Linked DNA regions of Arabidopsis thaliana. The protein of the gene in region 2 interacts with the protein of the main gene of each other region in a pairwise test. Each region holds a gene or a part of one and is shown on either strand. Other genes may lie near its edges.

Region 1 (3,754 bases), about 11 Mb from region 2:
AGACACACTCACGTTTAAAATAAGTGCAAACAAAATGTCCCACATTAGTGGAAAACAAAAATTGCAGGAACAGTTAATTGGCAGAGAAGAGAAAGAACTCACGATATTTCTGGATGGGCATCATCTTGGGCAGAATCTTGATCTGTGCCAGAGTTATAAGCCCCATCTGTCATCTTTGAAGAGGTGAATTGACCTTTATTACGTGCCATTCTGATAAACACTAACAAAGGTCAGAGAGGCAGAGAAGGTGACAAATCCTATCCCTTATTATTGAAATAGACATGTCGATTATTTCCAGTAAAAGCTACTTATCACACTAACAAAGACTCAGATGTCTATCCTGCTCAACTACAACCATATTGTCAAATACTACAGCAAGCCATGGACAATGAAGCCTACTACTCTACATAAACACCTACATGGTCACCAAACTTCTTGAAACAAATAAAAGAAAACTAGCTAGATAGTAAACTAGTTGAATATGAACAGATTTCCTTTCAATCCATAGCACACGAAAGTGAGGAAGTAGTTAAGCAACCAGAGCATAGCCAGAAGAGTAGAAAATTTTTAGTTTAGCTATACAAGAATACTAAATTTTTATCCCAGAAAAGGTGAAAGAATTTTGTTCAGAGTAACAGCTTTTGGCATAAATTGGTAAAACTCAAGACTGACACACTGACCTTAAGGCAACTTCTTGGCGAACACCGTATCTTACTTTCTTCTCGAAACATCTAGCATTCCTCTTCTTCCGAAACCTATCCAAGGATTGTGCCCGTTGCGGAAGGCTACAGCGGCTCTGATATTCTACAACAGGCTAAAAATAACACCAAACTGAAAAAGGTGGAATCGAGATGAAGTGACAATTTAAGCAGAATTTGAACACAAATAACAAAGTTACCATATGATTCTGCTGTTGAGCTAGTTCCATCACCTGCGGACCAGGAGCAAGCTCAGTAGAACCACCCAACAGCGACAACACAGCATCCACCTACGAAATCAATTTCCAAAGTTTGGTTAAGACTAGCAAAAGCACAAAGGTGCAAAAGAGGCAATCGTTACGTGCCCTAAGCCATCAGATGTTATGTTTCAGATGCATCCATCGAGACTTCACACAAATAACAAAAGAGGGACAGAGTAGAATTACCTTGTCAGCACCAACGGCATCAAAAACGTAAACTTGTCCACGGAACGAGATCGTAAGCTGATTCGCCCCTTCCGGTGGCCGAGAAACAAGTAATTCAGAGCCATCGGATCGGTGAGCAACCAATTGAGAGCCATCGGGAATCAAATCGGAGGCAGCACCATAGATAGAGTCAGGATGAGGGATTTCTTCCATATCGTCGTAAGGAATGTGACCAGACGTAGCGGAGGCAGAGACATGGTCTTCACCAGCGGAAGCAGAGGCGGTACCAATCTGGTTATTTGGGATAATCGAATGGCGACCAAACATCGGAAACTGCCAAAAGGGAGAGCTTTTTTTTCACATTGATTGAAGGATATAGAGAAAGAACAAAATAAACCCTAACCCTAAGAGCAAAGGAAGAAGGAAATAGTTGACATCGAGAAGAGCGATTACAGAGAGAGATGGTGATCGGCGCGTGTGGAGGAGGCGAGATTAGGACCGTCGTCGAATTCACCCGACGGTAAAAAAAAAAGGTGACTTTAGGTAAAATCGCAGCACTGCTTCCGAGACGACCCGACGACTCTACTTTACTGGATTTTTAACCAATCACAAATTTCTCTTCTTGTTATTCTTTTTTTTTTTTTTTTTTCTTTAAGCTAGTTTTTCACGTAAAAAAAATATCTGAGAATATTCTATGTATCTTTGATGGTCAAAGGAAAAAAAATTGGGAAATTACACGAATTTGGTTTATCAACAAAAAAAAAAGTAATGCACAAAAAGGATGAATGGTGAGTGAGTGTGTTAGGAGGTCTTGGTGTGTTGTTTAGTTGGAGTAGTGGGAATGTTGTAGAGAAGAAGACCTAGGACAAGAACTATACACCCCATCGTAAAATTTGAGCTCAAGCTTGATCCTCCCGGTAGATACGGCAATGGTTTTGACATTATGTACACCGCTAATGGCACTACAACAACACCAAAAGTATTATCTCATATGGGTTTGAGTATTTGGTGACACTTAAGAGGCGTTGCATGGAAGGATAGAAATATGGACCTGAGAGCATCATGGTAAGAGAGGAAACGATTGCTGAAGATATTTTCACCAGATGGAGCAATGAGATGTTGAAAGCGAGATTGGTGGATATATAGAGCAGTGGGAGTATAGGGGCACCATCACAGCCTGAAATTCTCAAATGGATAATCACAAAGTTTTAGCAGTGAATAAAATTCAATGAAGGAAAAAAAAACAAGTGTCGAATGGTCTCTAACCAGAAATCTTAGCTCCAGTGTTGAAGAAGCATCCGGCACCATCTTTTAGATATGAAGGAAGGCTGGCGAATGGAATGCCTTTCAAGTTTGAGAGAAAAGGCAACAACAGGAACACAAAAAGAGCCTGCACAAGCACAGCTTCAGTGATCCGTAACACTAAACCAAAAAACAAAAACTCTTCTCAAGTAGGAGAGAGATAATAAGTGAATAACAGAGGAAAGCAGCTTTCAAATGTTTTCTTCACGTACTCTTGATGTAATGGAGAAGCATGTCTAATTGTTTTGGCTGTAACAAATACATTTACAACATGATATTGTAGTAGTAGATACCTGAAATCCAGATCCAAATGAATTTACCACAAATATATCCAGTGACTTTCCCTGCATCCACCAGTTAATCTTAGAGTTAATTCAGCAAAGTTTCGAAAGAAAAGCATTCCTGTTTGATGCAGGGGATAAGGGAGATACCTCAAGACGCTTTGCAGCATCATTGAAAACAAATTCCTGTTAACAGACAAAACACTTAACAACTTGGGTCTTGGCAAAAGAAAATAAAATAGAAATGTTCACAACTCATAAGAGAGAGCGACCTTCACCTTTATGATAGATGCACCAGCTTGAAAAGCAGCGGATGCTACCAATACAGCAGGCCATAAGAAACCGATTCCAGATAGCGTAGTATCTGCACCAGATCCACTGCAGATGAGTTACAGTCAGCATTCACAAAAATGAAAGTATCACTATCACACAAGCTTCTCTAGAATCAGGGCCTTCTATTTGCTATGTGGATGATAAATACTAAAGTAGAGCCGTCTCCATTCATTTAGCATGGTGAATTTGATAGGTGTGACTCTGGTCCATGAAAACTAGTTTTCTAGATTGTAAGAGCTGAAAGCACTCTCTTGATATAATCTGTAAATGACCACGGATACACAAACATTTCTCTACCCCAAGATCAAGCATCCAGATCCAAGAAGATAAAAGTAACTTTAGAAGAAGAGAAGAGGGAGGAAGGAATACCTTGAAACAGCCACCACAACCCCCACAGCCACAAGGAGACAACCAGCAATTTGGTTAAGCAAAAACCTCCTGCCTAAAATAAGAAGAGCAAAAAGCAGCTGCCACACCAAATATGTCTGCCAAACATTGGGAGGCATGAGTTCAACACCCCCATGAGAACAAATGAGCAAGAAGATAATCATAAAACCAAAAGACCTGATTCAAAATGGGTATAACTGGTCCAGGAAGCATTGCTGCAACAGAGAGTGGAATCACTCCATATGTAACCTTATAAATATGTAAAGTTTCAATCATGCTATAAATGGGATACCTGCTGCAGCCATGCCAGTGGCAACACCAAGAGCTT
Region 2 (3,754 bases):
GACGTTGGCAACCAGATGGTTTCTCGACCCTTCAGCCCAACTTTTGGAACTTATCCAACCCTTCTTGCTGTTAGTTACAGGGATTTCCCGTGGTGAACCTTTGAATGTCTCTTTAAACGATTTGTGGCGAGGTACAGAATTATAGAAACTGGTAGAAGGGGATTTCAGTCTTGGTTCCCCAAAACTTTTCTTATCTCTTAGACCAGGCTCCATTCCAACCATTATGTTGTCATCATCATCATGCTCATCATCCTCTGAATCTGGATCTGGCGAATGCAACTTTGATTTACGAGCTAATTCATAGCTCTATAAAGACATTAAGACAGAAAACGAAAATATTAATAATACTTCAAAGAAAGTAAGATAATTTAGCCAAAGAATGTGATGGCAGACTAAGATTCTAGTTTATATTATCTTCATGGGTATGTAGTATACAGAAAATGTTCACTTACAGGACCAGGATTAAAGCTCTTCCTCGTTCCAAGTAAATGTGGAAGGTGAGGCCGTCTCTGATTCCCAACATATATTGGCTCTGACAAAACAGTTGATAGAAAAAGCAATCAAATCCGACTGGACATGGGTAAAGGCATTCACAATCTGACACACGAAGAAGATGGTTTTAGCTTCTCTGAGCCACTTACTCAATACTCATAACATCATAAACCAGAAAATTAAAGGTAAAGTTGAAACATTTTATCATGACTCACCGTGAACTATAGGATTAGTCTGAGGCTCAAATGCACCGGGAGGAAGAGGATCAAATTCAACCCCCAGAGGTGGACCATCCTCTTGGTATTGTCTTCCTAATTGTCTCTTTACGGCAGTGATAGCAAAATTCTCACTCTCTCCCTTCACTTTCAAGTATCCCGAAGGCTTATTATACCCATAGCTTCTCATGAACTGAGGATGCTGAATAACGTCTTTATGTGCAACATATCTAGAACTTTCCACATCGCGAATTCCATCTTTGCTAGAGACAAGATTCTTACGTAATGATGAGCTACGATCAGAAGATGTACTATCTTCACCATCAGCATTTCCCATATAAAGCCTTTGACTTTCAACTTCCCTAGGCTTGGGGTTCCAATAATCCGTTTGCTTTGTACTACCACATGAATCCTGTCGAAGCCCACTTCCACGATCCTGAAGAACAACGCTTGACCGATCTTGGCTCCCAATGGCATTCCCATCTTCTTTTACATGACGTTTGTCTTTTAACCTTCTATGGCAGAACCAACCTGAAACTTGCTTCTCAGTTAATCCAACTTCCTCTGCTAACTTGCCCTTCATTTCTTCAGTCGGATACTTATGCTCTGTAGAAAAACCAAATCACACCTGTAAAGCATATACAACTTGGTATAAAGGAACATATGCAAACAACAAAGCCATAATTTACCATTGTAGAAATTCTCAAGCGCCATAACTTGCATAGGAGTCTTAAGCTTCCGTTTTTTGCTGTTTTCTGTAGAAGCTTTATCGCCATCAGCGGTCGCTTCGCCTGAATCTATCGAAAATAGCACATAAAAATCAAAAACATAAGAAGATAATAGTGAAACACGGACACCATTCAATAACCAAGAGATGCAAAGCCCTGACCAAAATCAATTTCATTTTACAATCATGCTTTGTGTATTTAGAAATGTTGCTAGTAATTCCGAAATTCAGGTAAAACATCTACACAAGCTTCACATAAAAGGGTTTAATTTCAGAATTATGGCTCTTTCTCTCATCAGCCAAATACTTCTAAACCCAATCAAAACGAACGAAAACTTTGGAATTCCTTAGCTTGAATAATTAGTAGTACCATAAAACAAACCAAAAAAGGCTTAAAATTTCCAATGCCATTGATGAATTTCGCTAATTAAAACTACAAAAACTGGGAGTTGCATTGTAATTCGACGAACTCGGGATCATTAAAAACTATTCTCTCACGTAAACTCGCAGGAAGACAGAGATTGAAATAGAGGAAAAAACGAATTTCACCTGAGTGCATAGCGAAAATTCCCAGAGATTGAAGGAACAAAACCTAATCAGCTCCCAAAAACCCAGATTTTTTTCTTTCTCCTTCTTCAAAATTCTGGTTTTTTCTTATGAGAGGAGAAGAAAACTCTTCTTCGCACACAAATGACAAATCTCTTGAGAACCATACCGGTTTCAGTAAACCGGAACATGGGAAATACGTGAACCGGGTAAATCTAAATTTGGGCCTTATTGTGGGCCTAAATTGGACAACGAAGGAATAAGAAGAAGAGAGGCGTCGAATGTTTCTTGTGACAGAACCGCCATGGCTACAGCTTCAAGGTTTCTTCTACGGAAATTGCCGAGGTTTCTCAAGCTGTCTCCAACTCTTCTCCGTAGCAATGGCGTAAGAGTTTCAAGCAATCTGATTCAAGATTCCATAGAACCGTTGGATTCCTTCTGGAGAATAGGATCTCGAATCCGCCATGATTCTTTGACTACCAGAAGCTTCTCTTCTCAAGGTCCTGCTTCTGTCGATTACAGGTACTTTAATATTCTCCATTTTGATCTCCTTTATTGTATCTGAATCGTTAATTTCATGAGAATATGAACAAAGTGGAAGAAAAAAACAGTTCGGTTTTGCAGGAGGAAGAGTTTCACAAATTAGCCAACTTCACAATTAATCACCTTCTTGAGAAAATTGAGGTATTTGAAGCTGGAACCTTTTTCTCTCTAGGGTTCTTCGTTTTACTTGAGATTGCAATAGCTTACACTATGTTCTACTTGCATGATTCATGTTCAGGATTATGGTGATAATGTTCAGATTGATGGTTTCGACATAGATTATGGGGTAAGGATTAAACTCTTTTAAGCAATTTAAGATCTTGTTCATATTTCTGGAAATCTATGTGTACTTATTATAGTCAGTCCTTTTGGCTGTTTCCAACAGAATGAAGTTCTTACCCTTAAGCTTGGATCTTTAGGCACTTATGTACTGAATAAGCAAACTCCAAATCGACAAATCTGGATGTCTTCACCTGTGAGGTAAAGATTCTTTCTTGCCTTTTGAAAGTTGCTAACTTTAGGCGCCTAGATTGAATTTCGCATCTGGATTATCATGTTCTGCTCTCTCTTCTGATTTTTGTACTCATGATATTTGGAGAAATGAAACTGTTTATGACTGTATAGTGTTGTTGCTCTTGACTTTGTGCTTCCACATCTTAGATTCACATTAATGTAATCTTCATTCTTCCTTTTGTCTCGGTGCAGTGGCCCTTCTAGATTTGACTGGGACCGTGATGCTAATGCGTGGATATATCGGCGAACTGAAGCAAAGTTGCATAAACTCCTGGAAGAGGAGTTAGAGAATCTATGTGGTGAACCAATCCAACTCTCATAAAGAAGGCTTTAAAACAATATTTGTGAGCGAAAGGGTTTCATCTATGAACTTGAAACTGCTATACCCTGTTAAAGGTATATCTATGAAACATCCAGAGGAATAAACAAACAAGGCAGAAGACAAAGTTGTTTTAGTGTGAAAACTGATTAGTGTTTCTGAATCTATTTTTAAACAGTAATGTCTCATAGTGACATTGTTGCAAGTCTCTTTGTTTAATCAGAGCTGAAGCTGCCTTTTACAGGTTTACGCGTTTTAGATGAAAACATTTCTTTTGAACGACAAAAGTCCTACATTTGTCAAAACTCCTCGAATCTCACAATAATTTCGGAAAAAAGTTGGTTAACAATGTTTGCAGGGTCAATCTCCACTTCTTCGAAAGCACCAATAAGGACAAAA

Evidence for each region. The genes of interacting proteins can lie anywhere in the genome.
Region 1: the proteins of AT4G03250 (region 2) and ZIM interact in a two-hybrid assay, tested with the Arabidopsis thaliana proteins (one large-scale study listed by BioGRID).

What each region holds. Positions count from the first base shown.
Region 1 is NC_003075.7:12,643,481-12,647,234, reverse strand, and holds the start of ZIM (GATA-type zinc finger protein with TIFY domain-containing protein), read right to left. Parts: upstream 1,672-3,754; 5' UTR 1,451-1,671; coding exon 1,145-1,450; intron 989-1,144; coding exon 899-988; intron 815-898; coding exon 681-814; intron 211-680; coding exon 103-210; intron 1-102. Other genes in the region: CLT2 (CRT (chloroquine-resistance transporter)-like transporter 2), read right to left, coding at 1,925-2,085, 2,175-2,300, 2,390-2,513, 2,719-2,769, 2,857-2,892, 2,985-3,084, 3,409-3,524, 3,604-3,641 and 1 more. UniProt on the Arabidopsis thaliana protein: Transcriptional activator that specifically binds 5'-GATA-3' or 5'-GAT-3' motifs within gene promoters.
Region 2 is NC_003075.7:1,423,289-1,427,042, reverse strand, and holds the start of AT4G03250 (Homeodomain-like superfamily protein), read right to left. Parts: upstream 2,142-3,754; 5' UTR 1,994-2,141; coding exon 1,984-1,993; intron 1,505-1,983; coding exon 1,397-1,504; intron 1,314-1,396; coding exon 708-1,313; intron 533-707; coding exon 453-532; intron 307-452; coding exon 1-306. Other genes in the region: FH (frataxin-like protein), read left to right, coding at 2,285-2,502, 2,592-2,664, 2,762-2,809, 2,909-3,003, 3,229-3,358.